Linked DNA regions of Lonchura striata. The protein of the gene in region 4 binds, or shares a complex with, the protein of the main gene of each other region. Links are inferred from orthologs where the notes say so. Each region holds a gene or a part of one and is shown on either strand. Other genes may lie near its edges.

Region 1 (7,067 bases), on a different chromosome or scaffold from region 4:
CCTTTCAGCAGTACCTGGGCACTGGGATCAGCAAACCTTGGCAGCTGATCCCACGCTGGCCCTTTTGTAAACATTGAGTTTATTTTTCCTCGTTTATTTGCCTTTCATTGAGCTCCAACAGGAAAAATATATGGCTCAGCGTCCCTCCCACCCTGGTCTCTGTGAGTTTTTGTTTCACATGGTTATCACAGTCCTTCGCCTCCTCCAGTGTTTACATAAAGTTACAGCGCCCACAAAACAGCTCCAAAAACTTTATTTGTATTTTAAAATAGTCTGCTTGAAACCAATCTTAATGCATTTCTCTCTCGTTGTAGTTCCTCGTGTTAAATAAAATCAGCAGACCCTCAGTGATGCCAGAGGGGCCGCGTGGTGCTGAAAGCCCCGAGTCGGGGAGGCAGCGGGGACATCGGCAGCGCTGCCAGCGGCTCTCCACGCAAAGCTAATGGAAAACCTTTTAAAAACCACCCAGGCCTGGCACATTTGGGTTCTTTCTGGAGAACCAAGAGATGCAGCTCTGTCCACGCTCCCAAGGCTTGGCTGGGTGGCACGGCCCGTCCAGAGACACCCCTGGGATGTGTCTGTGGCCCTGCGGTGTCCTGGCAGGGATGGTGACAGACGCCACACGCCAGATAAGAAGTGATCATCACCTCGAATTTACAAACAGCGTTTCAGTTCCCTGTGTCAGGATGGCACTGCCCACTCCCAGCTGGAGCACAAGAGCTGGGAAGGGAAGTGCCAGGAGGGGCCGGTGAGCTCCGCTGCCGGAGCTGTGCCGCTCCGGCCGCGGCTGCCCAGCGGATCCCGGCGTGGATGGCTCAGCCAGCTGTGTGCCACGCACCTGGAGTGTGGGAATGCCTCCAGCAGAAAGGAGCAAACTCCAGGAAAATAGCAACAGCAAAAGGAAAAGGAGCAGCTGCAGGAAAAGCCTCGCTGCCCAGTCCCCGCCAAACCGCGAGGTTCCCTCTGGAGTGAGCGACCCAAATGGATTCGCTCCTTTCCGCTTATTTATTCCTTAGCAGCAATGACTGTTAGCAGGTTTATTTACATTGACAGCTTGCATTTATTTTCCTCCCTCTCCTCGTCAGGCCTTGGAGCATCCCACCAGGCAGGGAGAGGGAAGAGCAATGCAAGCAGCTGCCACAATATTCGGTGACAGTGGGAGGCAGGGAGCAATGGCAGAGCTCTGGATAAACAGAAATGTCTTCCCAGAGAAATAAATCCATGAAAATGGACTGGGGGGGCTCACTGAAAATTCTGGTCTGTGCTAACTGCTGCCCCTTTCCCTCCCAGCCCCAGCCATGGTGTGCTGGCATGTGGGAATCACTGCAAATCCAAGTAACGTGAAAACAAGACAGCAGAAATCACAGCAAACCAAACAATTTTATTATTTTTAATATTTAAAAATTAACCTTTTATTGCTACCAGCCCAACAAATAAACACGTACAATTTAACTGATTCTGCTTCCCTGTGCCCCCTCACTGTGCTCCAGGGACCTGGGATCTGAGCACATCATGGGGTGTGGCTGTTCTCAGAAAGGAAAAACAGCAGGGTTTTGGAAATTTAAAAAATGAGCATTCCCAATCCCCCTGGGACGATTTGAATTGTGGTGGTGCTACCTCTGCTCGTCTGGCTTTTCTCCTTTAAGTCCCCACCTGTGTGTGTCCTTTTGGGCTGGCTTCCAGGAAAAATTCCCACTGGCAGTGTGCTGTGTTTTCTGTTTGCATCCAGACATGCCCCAGCATGTGCAGAGGAAATCTCTTTGCTTGCAGTTAAATCTGCATAAATAAAACAAGCTGTCACCATCCACTGCTGTGGGAATTATTTTCAAGCTTACACACACTTTCCTTGTCTTATCTTAAGCTCAGAGTTTCTCTGAAAAAGTCAGACTGGTATTTTTGGATTTTTTTTTTTTTTTTCCTACATGCAAAACAGTAAGTTTGATCACCTGGAAGCACTGTTTAAAATGGACACACACACACACACACACCCCCAAAGTATCAGCTTTGTATTTCACTCCAAAGGCACAACCTGTGTGGTTTCAAGTTCCTGGTGCAATGCCAAGGAAACCCCTCCAGCAGCAGATTCCAAAGGACAGTTACCAGAGGGAAATTACAAGTTTGGACAGTTCATTGCTCAGATCTCAAAAAAAAAAAAAAAAAAAATTACTTCAGATGCCTCTTAAAAACCGACCCTTTTCTCCCAGACAATCTGGGCTTTGATGAACTGTTATTTTGCAACACAGTAAGATTAGTCAGGACTAATCCAGCTGGATGCTCTGTAGCAAGGATTAGGACAAACAGGTTCTGTGTGACAGAGCTGGGCGATGACAGGCCACAGCCCCAGCCCTGCAGCTCTGCCTGGGAAACCTCCTGCCTCCCAAGTTTCAGCAGGAATAACAATAAGCAATGATGTTATGTGCCTAATATCTGCATTATTCTCCCTTGGAAAGCCCTCGTTTCCATTGCTCCCATTTTGAGGACAAAAACTTGTCATTTTTGAGTAGTTGGCTTCTTTTTTTCAGCAAGATTATTTGCCTTGCCTTCCCAGTAATTTATTTTCTACATAACTTATTAATTCCCCACATATGTGTTTTGCTAGAGAGCCAAAACTGACTCTGAGAAATAAGTATTGTGCAGCATCTCCAACTGAACACTCCAGTGATAACACAGACCTAAGGAAAGTGATGAGGAAGAAAACATCTAATACTGCTATAAAGAGACACTTCATTAAGGTAATTAAGAGAATCATTTAGAGCAGTTATGAGGATTATTAAGACACAAAAGAAATTATGCAATGGGGTTTACACAAAGCAGGCAGAGTTACCATTGGTTCATGATGCCTTTAAGAATAACTTTCAGTGGTTTTAATGAGTTTTTGAAAACAGAGACTCATTTCTTGGCAAGGGATGGAGTTTCCCTACACCTGGGAAAAGCATAATCAGGATCTTTGTGGGGTTGTTTTTTGGTGGCAAGAGGACTTGTTAGGTTTTTTTAATATCACAAAAAGGTTTGGGCTGGGAGGGGCCTTAAAGCTCATCCATGCCATGGCAGGGACACCTCCCACTGTCCCAGGCTGCTCCAAGCCCATCCAGCCTGGCCTGGGGCACTGCCAGGGATCACAGAATCCCTGAATCGTAGTTTGGAAAAGACCTCCAAGACCACTGAGTCCAATCCTGGGCCCATCACCACTGAGTGCCAGTCCTGCCACTCCTTGGGCACCTCCAGGCATGGGAACTCCATGAAGTGTTTCTGGTGAGCTGGCAAATAACCAAACAGCTTGTTAAATTGTGAGCAGCTTGTTCAATCTTCAAAGCCCATTATCTGCCCCAAATCACCCCCTGAGGTTACACAGATTCACGACAGGCGTTGTGCCCCACTGCAGAGAGAACTGTGAAACCTCAGACTCTGTCACAGATGCAGAACATGGCCAGGCAGTCGGGAATTTACCCTTTGCCCTTGTGAAGATGGGCTCTCCCACCCTTGGCAATCCAACATGGACATTTCTCCTTAAAAACCTTGGGGCAGAGACATGCTGCCCTATTGTAAGTGCAGGTGAACCCACTGGGAAAAAATGCTGATGTCTGCCTCCAGTTCAGAGCGCTGAATGATTTCTTTATTATAACTATACTACAATACATTAATATACTATTTAAAGGAGATACTAAAACTACAAACCTACTTTTTCTAAGTCCCATATAACTCACTCATAACTCGTGCCCCTCTCTGAGAGCCCAGCCCCAGGTGGGTTGGATTGGCCATCAGGCTCAAACAATCCTCACCTGAATCAAACCAATCACCCCAGGTAAACAATTCTCCAAACACATTCCACCTGGGAAAAACAAGGAGCAGAAATAGAAATTGTTTTCTCTCTCTTTCCTCTGTGCTCCCCTATGAAAAATCCTGGGAGAGAGAAGAATGTGCCTGTAACACTGCCCTTCCACTTCGGGGGACAGAGCTGGGCACAGAACCGGGCACGGCGGGAACAGAAGTGGGGACAGAGCCGGGCACACAGGCGGGCACAGCACAGAGCAGAGCCGGGCTCGCAGCCGGGCACAGGGCAGAGGCAGAGCCGGGCTCGCAGCCGCGGCCATGAGGGCAGAGCGGGCCCCGCCGCGCCGCGGTGCATTGTGGGCCGCGCCCGCTCTTGGCGCCAAGCGCGCCCGCCGTCCCGCGCGGTGCATTCTGGGCCGCGCCCTCCCCGGCCGGGCCTAAAGGCGCGGGGAGCCGCACCGGACGTGACGCCAGCGGCCTCCGCCGTTTGAGCCGCTACCGGGAGGAGCGTCTTTTATATGCCGCGGGGACCGCAGTCTCCGCACGGTATAACGGAACTCCCGCAGCCTCGAGACCCCCGTACGGACTCGGCTTCTCCGCGGCGGCAAGAACCGAGGGACTACTTTGTGGCGGAACCGCGCATGCGCGCGGCGGGAGGCTGAGGGCGCGGCGGAAGACGCGCGCGCGCTCCGCTGAGCCGCCGTTGCTGCGGGCGGTGCTGCGGCCGGTGGTGCGGCCCGCGGTGGGATCGGTGCGCGCAGAGGCCGCGCGAGCGGAGGCGCGGGCGCCATTTTGGAGCGGCGCTCGGCGGTGAGGTGAGGCGGAGCGCCCCGAGAGCCCGGCCCGGCCCCGCACCGCCGCCAACATTGCCGACCTCGCCATGTCCGGCGGCGGCGTCATCCGCGGCCCGGCCGGCAACAACGACTGCCGCATCTACGTGGGGAACCTGCCCCCCGACATCCGCACCAAGGACATCGAGGACGTGTTTTACAAGTACGGCGCCATCCGCGACATCGACTTGAAGAACCGCCGCGGGGGCCCGCCCTTCGCTTTCGTCGAGTTCGAGGACCCCAGGTGAGCCCCCTCCGGCGCTGCGCTGGCCCCCCGGGCTGCCCGGAGCCCCCCGGGAGCAGCGGGCCGCGGTGGCGGGGCCCGGCGGGGAGCGGCGGGCGGGCGGCGCGAACAAAGGCGGGCGGGGGTGCGGCGGCCGCGCTCACCGCCCGCCCCGTGCCGCCCGCAGGGACGCGGAGGACGCCGTCTACGGGCGGGACGGCTACGACTACGATGGGTATCGCCTCCGCGTGGAGTTCCCTCGGAGCGGCCGCGGCACCGGCAGAGGCGGCGGGGGCGGCGGGGGCGGAGGAGCCCCCCGGGGCAGGTACGGCCCGCCGTCCCGGCGCTCGGAGTACAGAGTGATCGTCTCGGGTGAGTCATTGCTCTCTCTTTCTCTCTTAGCGTAAGCGCTCCCCCGGGGTCCTGCAGGCGCGGTGCTGCTGCCAGCATCTCCTTAAAAAGCATGGCCCCGTGTGCTTTGGTGTCCCCGCGATGCTGAGCGCTCCTCTGCTCTGCTGCTGCAGTACAGGAGGTGAGGCTCTAATCCGGTTTTAAAGTCACGTTTTGGTTTTTCCCTAGGGCTGCCTCCAAGTGGAAGTTGGCAGGATTTAAAGGATCACATGCGTGAAGCAGGTGATGTATGTTATGCTGATGTTTTCCGAGATGGCACTGGTGTCGTGGAGTTTGTGCGGAAGGAAGACATGACCTACGCTGTGCGAAAGCTGGATAACACTAAATTTAGATCTCACGAGGTAGGTATCACACTTATTCTCTTTGGCCAGAATTGGATACAAGGGGCTTAACAGTAGGATTTGAAGGTAAGGAACGCGTGGTGGTCGCTGTTTGGTTAGGAGGCAGCTAAGTGAGTGTGTGGTCAGGCCGGACATAGACGTGTAAGCTCTGCTGTGTGTCCCGGCCATAGTAGCACTGTCTGCAGTCTGTCAGCATGCCTGAAACATGGCCCTGAAGCCTCGACGTGTCAATCGAAAGTTCTGTCTATCCAATAGGGAGAAACTGCCTACATCCGTGTTAAAGTTGATGGCCCAAGAAGCCCAAGCTATGGAAGATCTCGGTCCCGCAGCCGTAGTCGTAGCAGGAGCCGTAGTCGCAGCAACAGCAGAAGCCGCAGTTATTCCCCAAGAAGAAGCAGAGGATCTCCACGCTACTCTCCCCGCCACAGCAGATCCCGATCTCGTACATAAACATCACTCTAGCTCTGATCTTTTTGTAGAACCCCATGTTGTACACAGTTTTCCTTTACTTAGTACAGTCTTTCATTTTTTTTTTCAAATTCCAACTGTTTTACTCGAATTGGCTGAAGTGTTGAATTGCATTCTTGTGTAAAATCCCTAGTGAGTATTTGCTCCTGGACACCGACATTCCCCTCCTGTCTTTGGTAAATTGTATTTTAATTGCTGTCAGTCAGGATTGTTCTGGTTTAGTTCTAGTTCGATACCAACATTCTTGGAGCCGTGGTATTGCTGTGTAAATGTCTCAGTGTTCCGCTGTGGTCGAGACGAGCTGGGGATGTTGGGATGTTTGTGGCTAACTTGTCTCTTCTGGGGGATCTTACATTTTATCTTGCCTTTTCGTGTGTCTTTCTGTAGACATATCTGAAGAGATGGATTAAGAATGCTTTGGATTAAAGGATTGTGGAGCACATGTCAATCATTTTAGGATTGTCAAAAGGAGGATTGAGGAGGATCAGATCAATAATGGAGGCAATGGTATGACTCCAAGTGCTATTGTCACAGATGAACTTGGCAGTATTGACCTTATACTGAGAGACAGGGGAATTGAGGCCGAGCACCTACGTGTCCCCACGTGTCGCTTCAGGCATGTCCTCGTGACCGCAGGCTGCGATTGCTCTTCTCTTTTAAAACTTCTTTACTGGGGGGGCAATTGTGGCCAGATCCCTGCTTTTGTAATTCTCTATTCCATTCTCGTTCTCTAAAGCAGTAAGCGGGGCCGGGGGGGAAGTATTGGTTTGTTTGTCCCGCAGCGTTTGGTTACAAGTGTCCATGTCCGTAGTAGCCGTACACTTGTAGTAGAACTTGCAATCAGAGTATAATATCAATACTGCTAAAATCTGCATGTCCTCTGTGTGACTGATACAGCGTGGCTGTTGCATTTTTATAAGTACCAGAATGAAAGCAAAATAAAAATAGCAAACCTAGTGGGGAATAATTTAAGTCTCAGCCCTGCCCCCTCAGACTAATTCACGATTGACTCACGATCCGTGT
Region 2 (8,530 bases), on a different chromosome or scaffold from region 4:
ACGGACGCGCCGGGAGCCGCCGCCTCCACCACGGCACGCAGAACCCCTGCAATTCCCAACAAGAATTCCCAAAAAAATTCCCCAAAATACGCTGAAATTCCACACCGGGAAAGGCATAAAGCCCGCCGGAATGAATTGATTTGGGAATGGTGTTTGGGAAGAGGGAGAGGCACGCTGCCAAATTCCTCCGGAACAGGTTTGGGAATGGCTGGGAGACATCAAAGCCATTCCAAGGAATCCAAGGAATTTTCCAAAGGGATCCACGGGCTGACACAGCCCCAGGAAGTTTGGGGAACGCTCCACGCCCCAAAAAAAAATATCCAACAGGAATTCCAGCCTGCATCGTGCCTTCCTAGGGAAATAAGTGTCCCCAAAATATCCTGGGATGGGATCCCAAAATATTCTGGAATGGGATCCAAAACTATCCTGGAATGGGATCCCGAAATATCCCGGGATGCTGGGATGAGATCCTAAAATATTCTGGAATGGGACCCCAAAATATCCTGGGATGCTGGGATGGGATCCTGAAATATTCTGGGATTCCAAAATATTCTGGGATCTGGGATGGGATCACAAAATATCCTGGGATGGGATCCCAAAATATCCTGGGATGCTGGGATGGGATCCTGAAATATTCTGGGATGGGATCCCAAAATATTCTGGGATCTGGGATGGGATCCTGAAATATTCTGGGATGGGATCCCAAAATATCCTGGGATGCTGGGATGGGATCCTGAAATATTCTGGGATTCCAAAATATTCTGGGATCTGGGATGGGATCACAAAATATCCTGGGATTCTGGGATAGGATCCCAAAATATCCTGGGATGGGATCCCAAAATATCCTGGAATGGGATCCCAAAATATCCTGGAATGGGATCCCAAAATATCCTGGAATGGGATCCCAAAATATCCTGGGATGGGATCCCAAAATATCCTGGGATGGGATCCCAAAATATCCTGGGATGGGATCCCAAAATATCCTGGAATGGGATCCCAAAATATCCTGGAATGGGATCCCAAAATATCCTGGGATTCTGGGATGGGATCCCAAAATATTCTGGAATGAGGTCCCCAAAATATCCTGGGATCCTTCAATGGGATCCCAGGATGGGATCCCAAAATATCCTGGAATGGGATCCCGAAATATCCTGGAATGGGATCCCAAAATATCCTGGGATGGGATCCCGAAAAATCCCGGGATGTGACCCCAAAATATCCCGGGATCCTGGAATGTCCCCTCTGTTCCCCTCTGTCCCACCTTCCTCAGGATTCCAAGGAATCCTCGGGAATTCTGCGGCCCTGTCACCTGTGCGAGGCCTTCAAATTCCAGCCCCTTTTTCCACGGGAAAGTTGGGAACATTTGAAAGCACGGATAACATTCCCGATAAGAGGCGGCGGCACACGGAGCGGGGAATAAAACATAAATTAAAAAAAAATAAAATAAAAGCAGATAAAGGTGGAAAACCCTCGGAGCATTCCAAGAGATCAGAGGAACAGGAACATTCCTGGAATCCCTCCCTCCTTCCCCATGTTTTTTAGGGAGTTAAGGCACTTTTTATCCCTAAAAAAAACGATTTTTATCCCTAGAAAACCGAATTTTAACCCTAAAAAACCGATTTTTACCCCTAAAAAACCGGTTTTTGGCCGGGTTTTGCTCCGTGGAGCGGAGCTGCCGTTGCCCCCGGGAAGGGAGGCGGCCGAGTTTCCAGTTCTCCCGGGAGCCCGAAGGGAATCCCGGCTCCGCAATCCCCGAATCCCCTCCCGGGCCACCGGCGCCGGTTCCACAGAAGCGCTGGAGTCAGCGGGAAGCGGCGTGGGACACCGGGGAGCCCCGCGGAACCGGTCCGGGCGGCTTCCCGGAGCCGGGACACCGGCAGCGAGGGGAAAGAACGGGAAAGGGAGGGAGCGGGGCGGCTGGAGCCCCGGGACCGGGACCGGACCCGTGCCCGGGACAGGATCCACAACCTGACCGGGACAGGAGCCCCGGGACCGGGACCGGACCCGTGCCCGGTACCGAACCCACAACCTGACCGGGACAGGAGCCCCGGGACCGGGACCGGACCCGTGCCCTGGACTGGATCCATGTCCTGGACCGGGACAGGAGCCCCGGGACCGGGACCGGGACCGGGACCGGGACCGGACCCGTGCCCGGTACCGAACCCACAACCTGACCGGGACAGGAGCCCCGGGACCGGACCCGTGCCCGGTACCGAACCCACAACCTGACCGGGACAGGAGCCCCGGGACCGGGACCGGACCCTGTTCCCGGTACCGGACCCCGCGCCCGGGACAGGATCCACAACCTGACCGGGACAGGATCCCCGTTCCCGGGACAGGATCCCCAGACCGGTTCGGGACCCCATTCCCAGAACCGGACCCCGTCCCCAGAACCGGACCCCGTTCCCGGGACAGGATCCCGTTCCCAGAACCGGACCGCAATTCCCAGAACCGGACCCCATTCCCAGTACCGGACCCCATTCCCAATACCGGACCCCATTCCCAATACCGGACCCCATTCCCAGTACCGGACCCCATTCCCAGTACCGGACCCCATTCCCAGTACCGGACCCCATTCCCAATACCGGACCCCAATTCCCAGAACCGGACCCCATCCCCAGAACCGGACCCCATCCCCAGAACCGGACCCCGTTCCTGGGACAGGATCCCGTTCCCAATACCGGACCCCGTTCCCAGTACCGGACCCCATTCCCAGAACCGGACCCCGTTCCCAGAACCGGACCCCATTCCCAGTACCGGACCCCATCCCCAGTACCGGACCCCATTCCCAGAACCGGACCCCGTCCCCAGAACCGGACCCCGTTCCCGGGTCAGCCCCCACCCCCCAAACCCAGCCAGGGCCGCCCCCCCGGGACTCCCGTCCCGCTCCCATCCCGTCCCGGCGCTAACCGGGACCGGAGAGGAGCCCCGGTCCGTGGGGGGGTCCCACCGGAACAAAAGCGGCACCGGGAGGGTCCGGGGCACGGCAGGCCCGGCCCGGCCCCGCTCCCCGCGCCGCCGGTGCACGTGGGGCGCGGTACCACGTGCGGGCGGCGGCGGCGGCGGCGGCGCGGGGCCGGGCCCCGCCGGCACCGGGAGGGCACCGAGCCCCGGGGGGGTCCCACCGGGACACGCGGGGGGGTCCCAGCCCCGAACAGCCCACCGGACCCCCGAACCCGGGGCTCTCCCACCGGCGGGGGTCGCCCGGTCCCACCCGCTCCCCCCCCCCCCCCCCCCCCGCCGTTCCCCCCCCCCCCCCGCACCGACCGCGGCCCGCACTCACGGTTGGCGATGTCCCCCCCCATCTTGTACTTGGTCACCACCAGGTCCTCGGCGATGGTGAGCTCGGCGGCCTCCTCCTCTCCCGACATGGTGGGAGCCCCCCGGAGCCCTCCCGGTGCCCCCCCGGGCCTGCTGGAGCCGCCCCCCCCCCCCGGTGCTGAGGGAGCCCCGGGACCGCGAGACCGGAGGCGCGAGCAGGGCAGAGCGCGGGCTCCGCGCGGGGCACGCTGGGAACGCCAGGCCTCCACGCCCCCCTGGACTACAACTCCCATCACCCCCCGCGGGCAAACCCAGCCCCCGGACGGGAGCGCGCTGCGCCGCGCCCACCCTCGCGCTGCGGACTGCAACTCCCGGCGTGCAGCGCGGCTCTCGCGAGAAGGGGTGGGGGGGTGAGAGCGGAAGCGGCGCGCGGGGGGCGATGGGGGTTGTAGGCGGAAGTGCCGGTGCGGAATTTCGGTGCCGGGACGCCGCCGGGACCGGTCGTTCTGCTCCTCCCTCTGCCAGCGCTTCCTCGCCACGTTCCTGGGCTCAACCCTGCAGCAACGCTCCCACTCACAGCCCCCAGCCCCGCCGCGCCCGTCCCATTCAACCCCCCCCAACCCCAGCACCGGCACCGCGGCCACACCGGGGCCGGTCCCCGCTCTCGGTCCCCGGTGTTCCCGGACCGTGACACCGGAGCCACCCACCGGCATCACCCCCACGGTCCCAACACCACCGGACACCCCGGTCCGGTGCTCCCCTCGACCCCCGTGACCCCCCCCCAAGCACCGGTACCGGTACCGGCGGCTGCCGGTGTCCCGGAGCCCGGTCCTGGTGTCCCCCCCGGTGTCCCCCCGGTGTCCCCGGTCCAGCCCCTCCGAGGTTTTAACTAAATTCTTTTATTTTCATTTATTTCCATCACGCGCGACCCCCCCCCGGGACCGGGGGCGATCCCTGAACGGGGGTTCCAACCCCCCCCCCCAAAACCGGGAAACCCCCGAAAAACCGGGAGAAACACCCCAAAAACGGGACCCCGGGTGACGTCAGGGGAGGGGGACACCCCAAAAGGGGATCCCGGGGGTCCCTCGTGGGTGGGACACCCCAAAACCTTCACTCAGCAGGGAATGGGGAGCCTGGAAATGAGTCGGGGGTCCTTCAGAAATCCCGTCCGGCACCCGCGGGTGGGGCCAGGGACCCCCAAGGGACCCCCAAAAATTTGGGGAGCACCTTCAGTGAATGGGGGGGGAGGAATCAACGATGGGAGGGGGATCCTGGGAGTCTCCGCTGCCCCCTCCCCACCTGGGCGTGCTCAGTCTCACCCCCCCATCCCTAAAAAAAAACCCAAAAAATCCAAAAAAAAACCCAAAAAAATCAAAGCGAGGAGAAGCCAAAAAAGCGCTGAAACCCCACCTGGGGGGATCCTTCATATCCGATGGGAACCCCCCGAATTTGGGGGGGTTTTGGGGGGTCTCGGGGGCTTAAATCAAGATGGGAGGGGAATCCCGGGGGTCTCCGCTGCCCCCTCCCCACCTGGGCGTGCTCGAGACCCCCCCAAAATAAAACGAAAAAACAAAATACCCCAAAAAAATCAAAGTGAGGAGAGACCGAAAAGGCGCTGAAACCCCACCCGGGGGGGATCCTTCACATCCGATGGGAACCCCCGGAATTTGGGGGAGGGTCTCGGATGGAGGGGGGCGTTCGGGGGTCTCAAGGGCGGAAATCAACGATGGGAGGGGGATCCCGGGGGTCTCCTCTGCCCCCTCCCCACCTGGGCGTGCTCGAGACCCCCCCAAAATAAAACTAAAAAACAAAAATACCCAAAAAAAAATCAAAAATCAAAGCGAGGAGAGACGGAAAAAGGACTCAAACCCCACCCGGGGGGGATCCTTCGCATCCGATGGGAACCCCCCGAATTTGGGGGAGGGTCTCGGATGGAGGGGGACGTTTCGGGGGTCTCAAGGGGGTAAATCAAGATGGGAGGGGAATCCCGGGGGTCTCCGCTGCCCCCTCCCCACCTGGGCGTGCTCAGCCTCAATCCCCGCCCCTAAAAAAAACCCCAAAAAATCAAAAATCAAAGCGAGAAGAGACCGAAAAGGCGCTGAAACCCCACCCGGGGGGGATCCTTCACATCCGATGGGAACCCCCGGAATTTGGGGGAGGGTCTCGCATGCAGGGGGGCGTTCGGGGGTCTCAAGGGGGTCCCCTACGTCCGCCGGGCATCGCTTTTGGCGAAGAGGCGGCTGTGCCAGTAGTCGGGGTTGTCGAAGGCGCAGTCCGACGCTTCCAGGCTCCGCAGCGCCTTCATGGCCGGGGCCCCGCGGCAGCGGCGGGGCCGCGCCACCGCCTCCATCTCCTCGTAGCCCTGCTCGGCCCCGCCGGGGGTCGCGGGGGTCTCGGCCGCTCTCATCTCGGTGTAGCCGTCGTGGCCCGGGGCTCCCGGCACGGCGCACAGCGAGCGGCTGAGCCGCGGTTGTTCGTTCATGTACTCGTAGTTTTCTTCCTCATCTTCATCATCCTCCTGGCGGGGTCCCCCCGGCTGGGGGGCTCCCGGGGGTCCCCCCGGCTCGGGGCTCACCTCCATGTATTCGTAGCCGAGTTCTTCCAGCGAGGCCGGGCGGGGTTGGGGGGGTCCCCGGGATCCCCCCCGTTGTCGGTTCATGTATTCGTATTCTTCCTCCTCCTCCTCCTCTTCCTCCTCCGCCGGTGCCGGTACCGAGCCCGCGGCGGGGTCTGCCGGGGGTGGGGAGGGGGTCACGCACCGGGCAGGGGTCCCCAGGGGTGCCAGAGGGGTTTGGGGGGGCTCGGCTGGGCTCAGAGCAGGGCGAAATGAGGAAAGAGCAGCCCCGGAATTACCGCAGAAACAGGGGGTGCACCCAACACCCCAAAAACGGGGTGGACCCCCACCCCAAAAACGGGGTGGACCCCCACCCCAAAAAACAGGGCATGGACCCCACCCCAAAAAACAAGGCATGGACCCCACCCCAAAAACGGGGTGGACCCCCACCCCAAAAAGAGGGGATGGACCCCCCCAGAGACACATGAACCCCCCAAACTCTGCAGGATGGGACCCCCCCCAAAAACAGGGGATGGACCCCACCCCAAAAACGGGATGGACCCCCACCCCAAAAACGGGGTGGACCCCCACCCCAAAAAACAGGGCATGGACCCCCACCCCAAAAACGGGATGGACCCCCACCCCAAAAACGGAGTGGACTCCCACCCCAAAAAACAGGGCATGGACCCCACCCCAAAAACGGGGTGGACCTCCACCCCAAAAACGGGGTGGGCCCCCACCCCAAAAACGGCGTGGACCCCCACCCCAAAAAACAGGGCATGGACCCCACCCCAAAAACGGGGTGGACCCCCACCCCAAAAAGAGGGGATGGACCCCCCCAGAAACACATGAACCCCTCAAACTCTGCAGGATGGGACCCCCACCCCAAAAATAGGGGTGGACCCCCCCAAAGATACATGAATCGCCCAAAATCTGCAGGATGGGACCCCCACCCAAAAAACAGGATGGAACCCCACAGAAACCTCCAAACCGTGCGGGATGGGACCCCAAAAACAGGGGATGGACCCCCCCCCAGAGACACATGAACCCCCCCAAACTCTGCAGGATGGGACCCCCCCCAGAAACAGGGGATGGACCCCACCCCAAAAATAGGATGGACCGCCCCCAGAGCCACAAGAGACCCCAACCCAAAACCCTGGAGGGATGGGACCCCCAAAGGGACCCCCAAGACAGGGGGAGCCCCAAAACCCGACCCAATGGGATGGAAACCCCCTCCCCAAGACCCCCAGCCCCATTCCAGCGGGATGAGACCCCCACAGGGACCCCCAGGACAGGGGGAGCTCCAAAACCCGTTCAAATGAGATAGAGACCCCCTCCCCAAGACCCCCACTGCCATCCCATCGCGATGGGACCCCCACAAGGACCCCCATGGACAGGGGGAGCCCCAAAACCCGACCCAATGGGATGGAAACCCCCTCCCCAAGACCCCCAGCCCCATTCCAGCCCCACAGAGACCCCCAGGACAGGGGGAGCCCCAAAACCCGACCCAATGAGATGGAAACCCCCTCCCCAAGACCCCCAGCCCCATTCCAGCCCCACAGGGACCCCCAGGACAGGGGGAGCCCCAAAACCCGTTCAAATGGGATGGAAACCCCCTCCCCAAGACCCCCAGCCCCATTCCAGCCCCACAGGGACCCCCAGGACAGGGGGAGCCCCCACTCCCATCGCGATGGGACCCCCGGGCCCCCTCACCGCGGAGGGCGCAGGTGGGGGTCACGTATCCGTCGGGGTCCTCCTCGCTGCCCGGGGAGCCGGGCGGCGGCGGGGCCGGCGGGGCGCGGCTCTCCCGGTGCCCCGGGCCGGCGCCGTCCCCCCGCGGGCGGCGGCCGCGCCCGAGGCTCCCGGCCGGGCCGCCCCCCGCGCCCGGCTCCGGTTCCGAGCCGGCGCCGCGACCCTCGGACGACTCCGACACCGACCGGCCCAGCGAGTCCTGCCGGCCCCGCCGCGGCGGCCGCGAGCCCCCGGGCTGGGGGACACCCCGAGTTCACCGCGGGACCCCCAACCGGCCCCGGACCCCCAACCGGCCCCGGACCCCAACCGGCCCCGGGACCCCAACCGGCCCCGGGACCCCGAGTTCACCGCGGGACCCCCAACCGGCCCCGGGACCCCAACCGGCCCCGGGACCCCCAACCGGCCCCGGGACCCCGAGTTCACCGCGGGACCCCGAGTTCACCGCGGGACCCCCAACCGGCCCCGGGACCCCCAACCGGCCCCGGGACCCCAACCGGCCCCGGGACCCCAACCGGCCCCGGGACCCCGAACCTGTCCAGGGACCCCCAACCGGCCCCGGGACCCCAACCGGCCCCGGGACCCCGAGTTCACCGCGGGACCCCCAACCGGCCCCGGGACCCCAACCGGCCCCGGGACCCCAACCGGCTCCAGGACCCCGAACCCGCCCCGGGACCCCGAACTGGTCATGGGACCCCGAACCCACCCTGGGACCCCCCAGCCTGAGGACAGCAGGGGGATGGTGAGGGGGGACACCCCAAACCTGCCCTGAGCCCCCCAGATCCCCCCGATCCCCCCGATCCCCCCAGATCCCCCCGAGCCCCCCGAGCCCCCCGATCCCCCCGATCCCCCCAGATCCCCCAGATCCCCCAGATCCCCCCGATCCCCCCGAGCCCCCCAGATCCCCCCGATCCCCCAGATCCCCCCGATCCCCCCGAGCCCCCCGAGCCCCCCGAGCCCCCCGTA
Region 3 (7,738 bases), on a different chromosome or scaffold from region 4:
CAAGTATTATTTTGTTTGATCACTGTAAATAAATTAATGAGTAATAGATGCTGTCTACTTCCTATTAAATGATTACCCATTTACAGACAACACACCAAATGCTAGTTGAAATTGTGAATGCCAGAGGGCTTTCAAAAGACTAGATTTTACTAAATTAAGCTATCTGTAATTAGAATGTTGACAAAACCAGTCACAATGGAGAAAAGGTAGACCTCTAGAACCTCAGCAGACTGCAGCAGAAGTTCCTTGTTTGTCCTTTTCACTCCTACCCTTGAATTTCACAGGCAATCCAAAACAAACTGGGAATCTACAAAATATTTGCACAGTAGTTTTTTGGGGTTGGCTTTGTTTTACACAAGTTAGCTGAAGGAAATAAAAGTCACTTCATTATCTAAGTTGATTGCTTCTTTTCTCAGACGCTCAGGTGGTTACTGCCTTGCTTCAGCTCACAGGTAGACCACATCCTACCTGAAATTTAAGAAAATCTCCCTGTTCTTATTTTAATGCTTAAACACATGAAACCTCTAATGCCCTTCTGTGAAGAAAATATATTTTGTCAAGTTACATGTGTACTCTAGATGTCTTGCATATCGGAAAGAACTTTTTTCTACAAATAGGTGGATTTTAACCTTTAAAATCTCATTGCTAATTTCCAGAGATACACAGGAAGTCTGAATAAGGTACCTGCATGCAACACATGTGAAATTCCTTCCCTACTTATACTGGTGTAACCTAGAGTTGGCCTTTTCCTCTTTATTTTGTAAAGACAGACAAGAAATTGAAAAAATTTACCAAAGTGCTTTGAAGGTTAACTATGATGGCTATTAGGATGGCACCACACCTGACAGAATACTGTCATACTCTGGTTAAACTGGAAAGACACAAGCCAAATGTAAAATCATACTCAGCTGCTACAGCATTTGTTTACAATGTCTGTGTCAATGATTTATACTCACACAATAAAATATTAAGACCGACAAACTATAAACTTGGTAGCACAAGAATTCTAACAGGTTTTTCTTGCAGTGTATCAATTCTGACAGTACTCAAGATCCACCAAAAGCACTGCAGATATAATGTGTTGCATTACATAAAATCAAGTATAAAAGCTTAGTTTTATATAACTGTAATATGCATACAGATGGTCTTCAGGACAAGATATCTAAACTAAACTACAGTTTGTACAAAATTTGAAGTAGAAGCAAATGGCAGGAATTTTGCCATTTCTAGTACAGTGTCCTAACTCAAAATGGGAAACTCCCTCTATTTGTGGCTCTTGTTGGTTCTTCCAATATTAAAAACTTTCTAATACTGAAATCAACTGCAGAGATTTTGAATTTAATAGACAAAATTCAAAGAAGGGAACTATTTTTCATCTATTTTGGCCAAATAGTACATCAAAACTATAAATTGAAATTCAGTTATTTGACAGCAACTATGGCATAATAATAAAATAAAAAAGTCCACTTTATAAAAATCACCAATGTCAAATAAAATGCAAACTGTGATCTCTGAACAATGCACAAGGATGAACCACGCAGTTAAACTATTGTTCCTGCCTTCCAAATGCATTCCTTTAACCAAGCAATGGAAGATAAACCCATTTGCCTAATAGAGCATATAATTTAAATATTTCAGAGAAGAACTGACAGAGATGCTGCTTAAAATAAATTTAAGAATCATCCATCCAAATACCTTGCAGGATGAAGACCCCAGCATAGTTCACAAGTTATTTTTTCTATACAAACTCCAAACTCTACAGCCCCTGCAGTTACTTTAGTTGCTGTGCATACCCTGTATTACAAACAAACCTTTTCCTTTTCTTCCATAGGAGATTTAATACGAGGCTGCATATTTTCTCTTTTGCAGTGCCTTGCTACACTTCTAAAATCACTAAAATTTCAGATTTTACTATTGCACCATGCAGTGCTACACAATTTTGTAAACAAAATATGTCTAAATTTATGGAGCCTTAAAGGACTACTGTATTCAGCAGATTGCAGTACCTTATCCACAGGAAGTTACAATCAGGCAATGTCTATATTCTGTCATTTAGAAGCAGGATTTTTTAACATAAAGCATTTCCATTAATACAAATCAGGAGGGCTGTTTCCCGCCTCCCCCCGCAAAACTTGTATTTAGGGTTTAAGCTATTGGAACGATAACAGGTCTTCACTTGATAAAAAAAAAAAACAAACAACTTAGAGTTATTTTTTTTAACATGCTATGAATCACGTTTTGCATTGTGACCTACCTAAAGGCACAACAGTACAGCGTAACAAGCAAAGTGCGTGTTTTAAGAATTCCCCCTTTCACACACGAACAAGTGCCTTCATGAAAAAAGGGAAAAAACACGAAAGACAGTCTTTACTATTTCATATTCACTAGAAGTGAACATTTCAAAGAGTTTTTCAACTTCTACAAACGTCAGATTTTAACCGTGGACCTCAATACTGCAGGGAAAGCGAAAATTAAAAAATAACCCCTAACTCTGGCTCTTAAGTGTGTAATGGATATCGCGTGTGTGAAAAAATAGGTTAATTTTGTTTGGTCTTTGCTACAAAGAGATTCATCTCCTATGCATACCACAAATAACCTGAGCAATGACTTCCCTCCATGACACGAGCTGCCCATCATATTGCAGGATTATTACAATGTTGGTTTGTTTAGGGCTTGCTTGTGTGTGTGGCTTGCGTATGTAATTCAGGCATTCGCATACATCAACTCCTCGTTGCGCATCTCACAATAAACTGATGAACGCTGTTAAACCTGAACCAGCAGCCTTTAGCAAACAAAGAAGTCTAGCACGGAATCGTGATGCAAAATCACCCCAAAACGTACTACACCGTGCAAGAACCTCACAGAAAATAGCCCGGCAACCTCATTCATTCCCCCCCAACCCAGCGATCTGCTCACCATCTCCGTCTTTATTTCTCTGTCCTCAGCTTATTTTCCTTGCTGCTAGTGGCTTCAAGGAGGTGGCGCACAAAAAAAAAAAAAAAAAAAAAAAAAAATGTTTAAAAAAAAATAAAAAGGGGCAACCCCCCCAACTCTTCAATACAGCGCTGGGCAGGCGCTGGGCAGCATGTCAGCCCTTGTCTTCCTCTCCCGCCGCCCGCGCAGGAGCCGCTCCGCCGCGCCCGCCCCGCGGGTGCCCGTCCGTCCCCCGCGCGTTCCCCGGGAGAGCGCCCGGGCTGCACCAGCTCCTCCCGCCCGCTCACCCACCGAGGCCGCCGAGTAGTCGGAGCCGGGCTGATTTTCCCCTCCCACCTCCACATTCCTATTTACAAAGGGTATCCAAGACCATCTTTATCCAACGGGGGGTGGGGGAGGAAGGAGGGGGAGGTGGAAATACTCATTAACCCTTTTCTTGCATATACCTTTTCTGCTGTGATTTTTGGAGCACACAGGGGAATTCCCCTTTTCTACAGAGCACATGGGCTCGTTACCATCGGGCCCACGGGGTCCCCGCTCCCGCACTCCGGCTTGGCCGCTGACGGTGCTCCTGAAGTAAAAAGGTCCAAGGGCACGGCTGGAAAACGCGCTCCCTCCCCAAACTACTGCTCGGAAAACAACCGGAGCGGCCCGCGGGGAAACGGGAGCGCACTGCCCGGCCAGCCCATGATGCCACCGCCCGCCCATCTCTCTATTTCTTTATTTATTTTTCCAAGCGGGGCACATTCCTCAACACTCGCACCTGGGAGCAGGAACGCGGGAGGCGTGAGGGGCCGCGCGCCGCGCGCCCGCGCCGCCGACCGTCGCGCGCCGCACGCGAACCAGCGCGCGCCTCCCGCGCCGCGAATTTTCCCATTGGGCGGCGCCGCTGCGATCGCGCCCGGCAACCGGAGCGCCATTGGCGCGGCCCCGCCCCGCCGCCGCGCGCTGCCGGCCGCGCCACGCGCCATTGGCCCGCCGACCTGTCCGTCACATGCGGCGGCCCCGCCCCCGGCGGGCGGCGGGAGGGGCGGCCCCCGCGGGGCGGGAGAGCGGCGCGCCGGCGGCGTGCGCTCCGCGGGAGCGGCGCGGACCGCGCGGTCACCGGGACGCGCCCCCGCCCCGCTGCGCGGCAGCACGGTTCCCGCGCTCGGCAGTGAACGCCGCCCGGCACAGCTCTTCGCCCGGGGCGGCGGGCCCAGCTGGTGGCTGAAATGCTGTGGCAGAGGCCCGTCAGGTGCAGCCAGCCAGGTAATGCTGGCACGCGATCCGCAGGGATTTGTCTGACTTGACCTTCTCGCCGTTTGCAGTGGTCTGTGCGCTGCCGTCGTCGCCTCTCAGCTTAGCCTTCGGTAACCGGAATAGCTTGAGCTTCCTACGCCTCTATTTTATATCGTGGTTTAATTTATGTTCCTCCTTTTAATAATTTCCTGTGGTTTTCCTCCCTCCCTAACCGTGGGTGTCAGAAATGGTGCAGCAATGTCCCTGTGCTGTGGACAAAGACAGTGTCGCTCCCTGTTTCCCTTATATATTCTGTATTTTATACAGTAAATAGTTAGAGTAGTCCATTTTACCACAGTATTATCCTGAGAGGTCACACTGAAATAATAACAACTAAATTCTTTTTTGAGGTACTTTTTGCCATTCTAACCCCTTCTCTGCATTCTTTATTTCCAGATGTATTTCCTTACATTTTATGCTATTAAAAATGCAATTTACTGGACTGGGATGATTTATTGGACACATCAGATGATTTTTGTAGACAATTGTGACTTACCCACTAATTTATTAGGCTACAAAATTTCCTAATAAATATTTTGCATCATCTAGACAATTGGTGGAGGTATTAAACTAGATATGGGCAAGAACCCATCTCTAGAAAATTGTCAGGGTCCCTGATGTCTCCTCTTTAAAGCTGCTTTTTGAGACCTCTCAGGGAAAAGATATTTAATCTATCTAAAGTGTGCTTTATGCATTCGAAATAATGTGCATTCCAGGACTCAAAGAACAAACTCTTTAAACAAATGTCAGGACTAGTTCTCTTTTAGTCTTTGAAACCAACTCAGGACAATTCTACAAGCCCTTAATTAAGCTTCTGCTTGTATTTTAGCTTTTTCCAAGAGAGGTTCTGCCCTGACAGTACCACTCTCTTAAAGTGGATACAGAAGCAGAGCCTGCTTTGGGATCAGTCTATTTGAGTTTGACAAATAATGGGAGCTATACACTGATCCCCTAGGACAAGGTCTAGAAGGGGCAACAATAACCAAGCTAGTTTTGGCAGAACAAAAGGTAGACACAAGAATAAAAGGAAGAGTCAAAATGGCCACCAAATCCATTATTCACAAATTCTTGCAGTGGACTCTTTTTGTGCAGCCTCCTAAAAGGCTTTTTAAATGACTCTGAACTTATTCTTACTTCCCATATGTATTAAAAATAGAAAAAAATCCAGTAAAAAACAGAATTGAATTTTAAGCCTATGGACACTTTTTTCCTCCCACAGATGTGACTGCTGTTGAAGGTATGCAGATTACCATCTGTAGATTTTAAATTAGAATCAAGCATAGAAGCTAAATGATCTTTGGTTACAGTGATGAATCTATACTTCAAGACTCAGAGTGCCAGAAAGTACAATACATTATATTTAATGTGCATGCATTTAACCAATTTCAGTGTTACAGAGATTTGTATAATTTATCTATTTAGTCACCAGATAACTGCTTTAAATAACAACTCTGTACCTGAAAACATTAATACATTCTAGGTTTGTATGTCTCAAGGTAATAACTGCAATCTATTGTGTTTCAGAAGCAGTAGTACAAAGAATGATGATCATACACTCACCCAGTAATTTTCATCAGTAGATCTCAGGAGACCTTGCAAAGGTCAATGTGATCATCCTATTGTTGATGATGGAGAAGGAAAGCATTGAGGTGAACTTGCTCAATGTCATATGCCCGAGCAGTGCTAAACCTGACAATTGACTTCAGGTTTTCTGTATCCAGGATAAAAGGTTTTGCCTGACAAGCCACCTAACACATCTATATACCCCTGGGAATTCTTTTAATTACTGTTTCACATCTTGTGTGTATTGTGTTTATCAGTGTTAGAACTTGGAAGAACACTTCAGGCTTTTATGGTGTTTCCTTACAGGCTTCACTATAAAACATTTTGTAATTTACAGGCTCCACTGAATCCCTCTATTGCCACCCATGAAAAAAAAAGTAATAAATAAAGTTTGAGGTTTTGTTTGAAAAATGAAATAATATTAATATTTCAGTAGAACAAAAAGGTGACACAGCTCCAATCCTAACCCAAATCTGCAGATCTAGGTAAAATTACTAAATGTTTGGTTATCAGTTCTGATCATGCTGTGCTAATAACTGAAAGCAAATTTGATGTTGTCACTTGTGTTTTCCTCAATTCTCAGGAAAGCTGTTCTGGCTGGAATTCATCCCATTGCAAACTCAGGGCTCAGTGACTTTGGGGGCCCTCCTGGAAGCAGAGTCTCTGCTGAAGGTGGTCAGGGGAACATTATCCCACACAGGGCCTTGTTCTGAGGGGTCAGGAGCTGCATCCAAACCCTCTGAGATTGTCAGCAGCCTTGGGTCTGTTTGTCCTCAGAGCTATGAGCACTGTGAAGCTCAGATCAGGCATGTAATGTTTTTATTTCTCCATAGAATCTGCAAGGTGAGGAGAGACCTTAAAGATCATGAAGTCCAACCTCATTAAACACTGTAACATCTATAAACCACTAAACCACATTACCAGACTTAAAGACCTCCAAGGATGGCAGCTCTGCCACTTCTCTGGGCAACCTGTTCCAACACCTGACCACCCTAACAGTGAAAAGCATTTTACTACTACCCGAATTTCTCGTCTCAGCATGAAACCAGATGGGCTGGCAGCAGGCTGAGGCAGCCAAGACGAAGCTCAGGGGCTGGGAGATGACATCCCAATGCTCTGGGGGATGCCGGGCGGTGCCGCACCGGCCCCGCGCACAGCCCAAGGAGGTCCCGGGGCACAGGGAGGGCTCGGTGCCGATCCCGGGGCACAGGGGAGGGCTCGGTGCCGGTCCCGGGGCACAGGGAGGGCTCGGTGCCGGTCCCGGGGCACAGGGAGGGCTCGGTGCCGGGCCCGGGGCACAGGGGAGGGCTCGGTGCCGATCCCGGGGCACAGGGAGAGCTCGGTGCCGGGCCCGGGGCACAGGGAGGGCTCGGTGCCGATCCCGGGGCACAGGGAAAGGTTCGGTGCTGGGCCCCGGGGCACAGGGAGGGCTCGGTGTCGGTCCCGGGGCACAGGGAGGGCTCGGTGCCGATCCCGGGGCACAGGGGAGGGCTCGGTGCCGATCCCGGGGCACAGGGAGGGCTCGGTGCCGATCCCGGGGCACAGGGAGGGCTCGGTGCCGGGCCCGGGGCACAGGGAGGGCTCGGTGCCGGTGCCGGGGCACAGGGGAGGGCTCGGTGTCGGGTCCCGGGGCACAGGGAAGGGCTCGGTGCTGGTGCCGGGGCACAGGGGGAAGGCTGGGTGTCGGTCCCGGGGCACAGGGAGGGCTCGGTGCCGGTCCCGGGGCACAGGGAGGGCTCGGTGCCGGTCCCGGGGCACAGGGAGGGCTCGGTGCCGGTCCCGGGGCACAGGGAGGGCCCGGTACCGGCAGCGCCGGCGGGAGGAGGAGCCGGCCCGGCCCCCGGAGGGGCGGTGTGCTCGGCCCGGCCGCCCTCCGGAAGCGGCGCGGGGGACGGGCGGCGCGGCGGCCGTGGGTGAGTGAGGGAGGGGCGGGAGGGAGCGAGGGGCCGGGGTCGCCGTG
Region 4 (7,789 bases):
GCTTTCTACTGTACAAGTTTAACTGATTTCTTGTCCTTTTTAAGTTGCCTTGGACTGATGTCAAAAATCCATCAAAATAAGGCATTCATATCACAGTTCATAAAGTAAAACTAACAGAAAACACTGAATGGTTTGCCCCCAAGGACTACTTACTTGTCATCTTTCTCTACATCATGACACACATCCACAATCTGAAGAATGTTGTGGTTTGCACTCAGTTCCAGCGCACCAATGTTGATGTGCACATATTCTTTCAAGAAATCTTCAGCCAGCTGCCTCACTTCCTTAGGCCATGTGGCACTCCACATCAGAGTCTGCCTGTCAGGCTAGAGAAGATCAGACCAATGAAACATCAGTACAGGGTTAAGTTAAATGCCCAACCAAAACCCAGGCTTACCCACCCTTGCTTTATCAAGAGTAGTGGCAGTAGTTTACATCTGCCATAGCAATAAATGCATTAACTATTTATACTCACTCTTATCTGATCTACAATTTTTCTGATCTGAGGTTCAAATCCCATGTCAAGCATCCTGTCAGCTTCATCAAGGACAAGGTAAGTACACCTCCTGAGATTGGTCTTTCCAGCTTCTAAGAAGTCTATAAGTCTTCCAGGTGTTGCAATGCAGATTTCCACACCTAAAACCAAGCAGTCCCATCAGCTGAAGCAGTTTCCCCATTCCCTCAGACAGATGCACCAAGGCTGATCCATACCTCTTTCCAGGTCACGGATTTGTGGTCCCTTTGGAGCACCTCCATAAATACACGTGGACTTCAAACGACACGCTCTACTGTACTCTGCAGCTACCTGCTGCACTTGTTGGGCGAGTTCACGGGTTGGTGCCAACACAAGACACTGGAAACAGGATACCCATCTTTTAGTTCAATACCCATTGGAAGGTTAGTCTGAGACTTAAAATTTTGAGTGTAAAGTTCAATGCCAGATTGACAGAAGTAGATTTAAGCAGCCAAACCAGCAAACCAAGTTACCTGGTAGCTTCCAGGGATAGCAACTTCCAAAATATAACCCAAAATCAAACCCTGTTCTGTACTATTTTGAGGACAACCCAATCAGAGATTATAGAATCTGCTAGGGAAATCAGCCCAACAGGGAACCACTTTATTCACACAGAGAAGCAGAATGCAGCTATGCACTCTTATGAGCAGGACCAACTGAGACTGTAAAATAAAATCCTTAGAAATTAAAATCCCCTTTAATTTAGGAATACTCACAATAGGTCCATCTCCTCGCTCCAGGAATGGCTGATGATTTATATGCACAATGGCAGGCAGTAAGTACTGATTGGAAGAAAGAAAAATCTCATTACAATCTCTTCCTAGAAGTTTTCACCCTGTGCTAGGCTAGGCCATACTGTCACTGCTGAAATCCAGCAGTATTTCAGGCTATAATCAAAACTTACAGAGAGTGTTTTCCCTGATCCAGTCTGTGCCACTCCAACCATATCCAATCCACTCAATGCAACAGGCCAACCTTGTGCTTGAATAGCAGTTGGTTCAGTGAAGTTCTGCCTCTGAATTACTTCCATAACATTTGCTTGAAGAGAAAATTTAAACATACAGATTCAGATGTTGCCCTAATCCAGTCTGGAGAACAGTTAAGTAAACTGGTCTTCACTTACCAGGGAAGTTTGCTTCGTAAAAGTTGATAATTGGTTTTGGACAGTTATGGCCCCTAACTGTGACCTCTTTGCTCGCTCTGTACTGTTCAACTTCTTGCTGCAAAAAGAAACACCCATTATTGGAAATAATGTCTGATACCAGTTATATTTTAAGTTACCCCATCTGTGCCTGCTGGGCCTCATGACCCTCAACATGTTTGCACTTTCTGTTTACTTTTGGCTTGAGCCAGGTCAGGTACATACCGCAGTACGTCTAACTACATCCGGATGTTCTTGGTAGAAGTTCTTCTCAAATTTGGGCAGCTCATCCAAGTTCCATTTCTTTTTTGTAAGTTTCTCCCCAGGGTTTCCAAATTTCTTCCCAGAGAGAGGTCCACCTCTACTTCCTCCAAAACGAGGGGCTCCAAACCTAGGCAAAAAGAACACATTATAGAATGCATGAAAAACATTTTGGTCCTCCTGAACAACTTCACCACTATGTCTGCAGTACACCCATTAACTTTACAATTTAGATGTAGAAACTCTACATATCGAAGTTTCAGGACACTAGAACTTTAAAAGCCATACTTTAAGCTGCAGATGCCACAATCTGCCTGGCCACAATTCACACTCACAAGCTAAGACAACGTCTTTCCCATTTCCATACAATGCAATTGAACAGCAAGTTACAACAAGCATTAAAACCTTGGCACTACCCCGTGATCAAAATGGTTTCCCGTCCCAGTGACAGTCCTATTACTGAAAGCAGGAGCAGTTACGAAACCTTGAGATAACTTTCCTGTAAACCGTTCTTTTGCATGTCCCAAAAGACAGACTTCTTTTAACAACGGTGTTTTATGAGGACATGCGCTTTATTAGCGTTTCAGGTTCCGTCCCTCCGTTCGGAGGAGGCTGATCTCGAAAGCCCCGAGGCGCAGATCGGTGCCGCGCACTGGATCCGAGCGCAGGTCTCCCTCCCCCGGCCCGATCACTTCCCAATTTTGGCCGGGCGGGCACTGGGAACGATCCTTCCCAGCACAACACAGCGCTTCCCGAGCGGCCGCTGCTTCCTGCCAGCGCTGTTTCCTTTGTCTCTCATTTCTGTCTACGCCACATTTTCCAGCCGCTGCCATTTTAGAGCCGGGCTGGGCGGGGGGGAGGAGGAACAAAGGCAGCAGCAGCATAGCCGGCATTTTGATTCCCCTCAGCCACCGCATGGCGGGGCCGGCCATTAACATCCGCTTACACAACACAAAGCGGAGCCGGCCGGCTCCGGCCGGCCACAGCCCGAGCCTCGGGAGGGGGAAGGGACGGGAGGGAACCGCCCTGCCGAGAGCTCCCCAAGGCTTCGGCACAGCCAACCCACTGACCCACAAACCTCCAGCCCGCCCGCCGCTCCCAGCGGGGGGAATCGGGCTCTGCACGGACCGTCTGTGCTGGGCGGGGGGCGTCCCAAGGGGGTTGGGGCGAGTATTTTCCTTCCCAACAGGAAAAAAAAAAAATTAAAACTCCCCCACGCTATTCTCAGCGGTAGCACACCCGCGAGGGGTGCTCTGAGGCGAAGGAATCTTCCAGTCGGTGGCCTAAAAAAGCCCGATACCCTCCCCCACGGCCAACCCTCGCGGCGGGAGCGCTGAGGGAAGGGCTCAGGGCCGAACCCCCGCCCCGCCGCCATCTTAAAACGTCTGAAAAACAACCCCGAGAGCCCCACGGGTAGGCTCAGAGTCCGGACGCTGGCGGCGGCTGGCGCCAGCCGTGCCCCCGGACTCACCCTCTATCCCTGTCGCTGGAATACCCGGGCATGGCGATGGTGGCGGTGGGCGAGGCGACTCCGGTCGCTTAGAGCGGGTGGCGAAGGGTTGCACAAGATCCGGCGCCGCTGGCGGGGGCCGCTCACTGTGGGCGCGCGGCCGCGCGGCCGCCGGTTATATAGGGCGCAGCGGGGGCTGCTGGGAGCCGGCGCGTGACGCACGCGCAGGCCCCACCCCCGCCGTTATGCAAGCGGCCCGAGCCGAGCCGAGGCTCCGCCCCTTTGTGGGCGTGGCCGCGGCTCGCCCGGCCGAGCGGTTTTGAGCTCGCGGCCGGAAGTGCCCCCTCCCCGCGGGGAGCGGCCCCCACCCCCTGCCCGCGCCTGCGCGGGGCCGCTGCGGGCGGGAGCCTCGTTCTGGCTGAGGGCATCCCGGCCTGAGGGGGCCGGAAATGCAAATGGAGAATGCTCTCTTCCATCCTCCCTAAGTGCAGGCTTTCGGCCTCCCAGCGTGTTCAGAACGCAGCTCGCAGCTCAGCTCCTCATCACTGTTGGCAGGGCAGAGCCGGACCCTGATGTCCGCAGTGCAGTCCCCCAGTTCTCACAGATCTGTTTCTGAAAATCCTCCTGAAATAACTTGAGATGAGCCCAGGTTTTTAACTAATAAAAACTCATACTTCACGGTACATTGGCTCTATGTCCACCTGTGACTTTCGCTCTCAGAAGGACCCAGATGTGCAGATCCTGGAGCTGGATGCAAAATAACATCAAACCTCCTCAGGCTAGTTCTTTTATTCTGTTAACCCATTGCCTTTTAAAAAATGTTTATAAACATATACATGAACAGAAATATTTATAAGCATATGTCTGTAAAATTACCAGTGTTATCTTTTTGGATTCCACACCAGGGCCAGTAACCTGAGTCAAAGGTCATGTGAGGTGCAGTGGTGCTGAAAAGCTGCTCTGAAGGCACGGGATAAAAACACTCAATACCCCAAGTGGACATTGCTGTTCACCCACCGGCTTTGCCAGGCCAGTGTCAGGCGACCTGAAGCTTTACACACACAGGACTTAAAGTTTTAAGCACAAACACCCGAAGCCACCTGCTCCAGGCAGAGAGGGAAGAAATGAAAACAACATAAGGAAGGAGAAGTGCTATAACAACACTTCCCATTTATATCCTCCCACCTTCTAGCAATCTGTGCTTTAAGGCTTTTCTGGGACAAAAATAACTGTATTTGATGGCCATTTCTTCACATTTGGTTCTATTTATGCCCTTAGCTTGTAAGATACCATGACAATGTATTTTACGGTTTTAGTGTATGCAACCTGAAAAACATTTACTTTCGTTTTCAACATATTGCTGGATAATAATAAGGAGCATAAAACAATGAGTTAGTAGAAATGGTGAGTAATAACTTTTTGTTTATTTATACTGTTTGTGGGCATTAATATCTTCTAAGTCACCTCCTTTATAATAAACCAAAGCTGCAGTGTAATTTTTCCTCCTTTTAAAGCGATTCCATGCTTCTAATTATCCTTGCTATTTTTGCCTTTATTGACAAGAAATTCACAGCATTTAAGATCTGGACCTCATACAGATCTACATAATGAAAGTATAAAGGTGGTTTCGATCTGTTGTGTATTACTTTATAGCAGTTTTTAAAATTTGTTGCTAAGAATAGAGCAGGGTTTGCTAAGACTAGAGGTCTGCATGATATTGTCCTCAAAAGTAACACCTAAGTCAGGGTTATTTTGTTTATGAATAGCCAAAACTGTTCAAACCTCAGCAATTTGGAATTCCACCTTGCTCAACCAATTTTTTGTTGTAATTAATTATTTCTTTCAATAGCACTCCAACTTGACCAGTTTTGCTAATACTACCCCAGCAAATTTCTAGTAGAGGAATGCCCCCAGTTTTTTTCAGTAGAGACTTACTTATTTAATATGGCTTATGAAAAATTTTTAACCCCAAATACCCCTACTAACACTCTCCACCTTCTGACCCTACAGGCTTCCTGTTCCTGGTGAGTCTAAAAAAATTTTTTGCAAACGCTGTAAAAATGAATTATCTTTTCTTGTTCTGGTGCATTTATCTTAACACAGCTTAATTTGGTTTTGTTTGTGTATAACTCTGTGGCTCCTGTTACTGTGCTGTTTAATCTTTCTAAGGTATTAAAGAATTGAAAAGACTAAACAAAAACCCAGTCCCTGCCTTGTCTACACGCAGTTAAGTCTGCAAGGAACTCCTTTCAATTTACTTTGTAAAAAAACTTCCTCATTTTTCTGTTCCACCCTCCTAAGTTAAACATCCTTGGTTTTCCCATGTTCTCTTAGAGCCAGCACATGGAAACAAATCAACAGTTTTGCAGAGCTGTGTATGCAGCAAACTAAAATCTGTGTTTAGTTTAGTTTCGATAGCACTGATCTGTGTTTGCTTACACACAACAAAAGTTCTTTTGTGTTCCTGAGGTGGTGTGTGCACTTGGATTTGGATCGACAAATGACACCCGTGGGCTGCTGGAGCTCACAGCACTGAGGTTTTATTGCTGCCAGTCATTGTTCTTACGGTCAAAATTGGGACCTCAGCTGCCTTTGCCGTGCTTGAGGGGTTTAACGATAAAGGGCACCATTTTTTCTTTCAACATGGAAAACCCAGAATTCCTGAGGAGCATGCAATACTGTTGCTCAGAAAGGGAAGTAAGAGATTTTCACCATCCAACCTGTCCAATAAACTGCATGCTAGCGGCTAGTACAGTAACTTTCATTTACGCATTTTATTTTTAATAAACGTTTTAGCTCTCCTTTCATGCAGAAATGCCTTCGAACTGCCAAACCGTGGCAATTAACAGCAATCCCCGCTAATGGACATACAGGCCAGCAAACGTCCCGGGCACGCCTGCAAGGTCAAGTGGTGCAACTTCCCCCGCTCCACCCCCGCCCCAGGCCGGCCCTTTGCCCACCCCATTTACCGAGATAAACGCCGCCACCCGCCTCCTGTTCAGGTGACGGAGGCGGAACCTGACGGACAGGCCCCCCTCCCCCCGCCTTCCCCGCCGCCATTTTACGCCGCCGGCAGCGCTCGGCGGCCGGAGCGCCCCGGGGCCGGCCCGCGCTGCCCGGGGCCTCGGCCCGCGGGGCCCTGCGCCGGTGGCGGAACCGGGCGGACCGCACCGGCGCCCCTCACGGCACCGGCGCCGCGGCTTAGCTTGGGGCACGGGCTCTTTCTTTTGCTCCCCGTTCCCAGTCCAAGCGCAGGCCTGTTCCCAAGCCCGTTACCGAGGCGCTGGGCCCGCCCCGCTCCCGTAACACCGGCCACGACCGAGAGCACCGGACGCGCCGGGCGCGCGGCCCCGCCCCTTCCTGCGGCTGCCCAATGGGCGCGCAGGCCGCGGTTTAAATGGCGGGGCGGCCCCGGGCCCCGGTCGTTGGTGCCGCCATGGGCAGCGCTGAGGGCGCAGGTAGGGCCGGCCCCGGGGGGCTCCGACCGCCGCTCGCTGCGCCCGGCCCTGCGGTGGGCCTGGCCCCGGGCCCCGCTCCCGGAGCAGCGCCCGGCCTGGCACCCGCAGAGCCGGGAGAGACGACCCGGAAAGTTTCCTTCTCCCTTATCACTCCCCCTCCCCGCCGCTGCTCGCATCGCTGGCACAATTTTATTCAGTCATTATTTATTAAAGCTCACCCAGTCAGTTCATGCTTATTCATTTATAAAGCTGTTGTTTTCTTGTGTTACAGCTTTTTAAGATCTTTGCATTAACCTCCCCCTTCCCCTCTTTGTTCCTTTCCTGGCTACACTTTTAACTTAATAAAGCTACAGATGAACAGTAACTCAAGTGTTCCAAGACATCAGCCTGAAATGTAGATGCTGCTTTAACCTTTGGTGCATCTGAAACTTAAGGTGATGTCTGGAACTGATGGAGTAGAGAGATGGAAAAGTAACACTCCTCTGTACAGAAGACTGAAAACTGTACCAATTTGTTTCTGTTGTAGTAATTCTATACTTTTTTCTTCCAAAGGTGACTTATGTCTTCACCAATAAATTAAAGTTCTTAATGCTTGTTAAAATATGTGTGTTTCAAAGCACTTTGATCTTAGGACTCAAATTTTGAGGAAAATCACAATGTTAATGCACATCTTGTGCTCAGCAGAGAACTTGGTGTGACCACTTCTGTATTCTTCTAATCCTTAAATAATTAAAGTAGAATTTACTTTTTATGAGGAGTAGTTACATTAGCAGTGATGACATTGCCTAAGGCTATTAGAGAACCTGAGTTTGTCCGAGAAGCTCATGTTTTCCAAAAAAAGAACCTGTTATTTCTGATAATTGATAAATGGTGTATCAAAGCTTGGCTTGTTAATGTCTTGAAGGTTTAGAGGTCCTGGCTATAGACCAGATGCAAATTTGTTTTTCATTACATGGAAAAAAAAA

The links. The genes of interacting proteins can lie anywhere in the genome.
Region 1: DDX5 (region 4) and SRSF1 share a complex: the UniProt entries of both Homo sapiens proteins name them as parts of the ribonucleoprotein complex. The link is inferred for Lonchura striata from reciprocal best matches to the Homo sapiens genes DDX5 and SRSF1.
Region 2: DDX5 (region 4) and PA2G4 share a complex: the UniProt entries of both Homo sapiens proteins name them as parts of the ribonucleoprotein complex. The link is inferred for Lonchura striata from reciprocal best matches to the Homo sapiens genes DDX5 and PA2G4.
Region 3: DDX5 (region 4) and ARVCF share a complex: the UniProt entries of both Homo sapiens proteins name them as parts of the ribonucleoprotein complex. The link is inferred for Lonchura striata from reciprocal best matches to the Homo sapiens genes DDX5 and ARVCF.

The regions. Positions count from the first base shown.
Region 1 is NC_134622.1:10,652,595-10,659,661, forward strand, and holds SRSF1 (serine/arginine-rich splicing factor 1), read left to right. Parts: upstream 1-4,514; 5' UTR 4,515-4,651; coding exon 4,652-4,845; intron 4,846-5,011; coding exon 5,012-5,196; intron 5,197-5,403; coding exon 5,404-5,576; intron 5,577-5,831; coding exon 5,832-6,026; 3' UTR 6,027-6,044; downstream 6,045-7,067. UniProt on the Homo sapiens protein: Plays a role in preventing exon skipping, ensuring the accuracy of splicing and regulating alternative splicing.
Region 2 is NC_134629.1:9,434,104-9,442,633, reverse strand, and holds the start of PA2G4 (proliferation-associated protein 2G4), read right to left. Parts: upstream 3,524-8,530; 5' UTR 3,372-3,523; coding exon 3,284-3,371; intron 47-3,283; coding exon 1-46. Other genes in the region: ERBB3 (receptor tyrosine-protein kinase erbB-3), read right to left, coding at 5,465-5,991, 7,529-7,802. UniProt on the Homo sapiens protein: May play a role in a ERBB3-regulated signal transduction pathway. Seems be involved in growth regulation. Acts a corepressor of the androgen receptor (AR) and is regulated by the ERBB3 ligand neuregulin-1/heregulin (HRG).
Region 3 is NC_134620.1:8,196,711-8,204,448, forward strand, and holds the start of ARVCF (splicing regulator ARVCF), read right to left. Parts: upstream 3,524-7,738; 5' UTR 3,381-3,523; intron 3,254-3,380; exon of another isoform or gene 3,222-3,253; intron 3,139-3,221; exon of another isoform or gene 2,969-3,138; 5' UTR 2,917-2,968; intron 1-2,916. UniProt on the Homo sapiens protein: Contributes to the regulation of alternative splicing of pre-mRNAs.
Region 4 is NC_134621.1:8,413,928-8,421,716, forward strand, and holds the start of DDX5 (putative ATP-dependent RNA helicase DDX5), read right to left. Parts: upstream 3,528-7,789; 5' UTR 3,420-3,527; coding exon 3,388-3,419; intron 2,047-3,387; coding exon 1,881-2,046; intron 1,735-1,880; coding exon 1,638-1,734; intron 1,553-1,637; coding exon 1,419-1,552; intron 1,297-1,418; coding exon 1,231-1,296; intron 854-1,230; coding exon 712-853; intron 637-711; coding exon 476-636; intron 327-475; coding exon 154-326; intron 1-153. Other genes in the region: CEP95 (centrosomal protein of 95 kDa), read left to right, coding at 6,764-6,824. UniProt on the Homo sapiens protein: Involved in the alternative regulation of pre-mRNA splicing; its RNA helicase activity is necessary for increasing tau exon 10 inclusion and occurs in a RBM4-dependent manner. Binds to the tau pre-mRNA in the stem-loop region downstream of exon 10.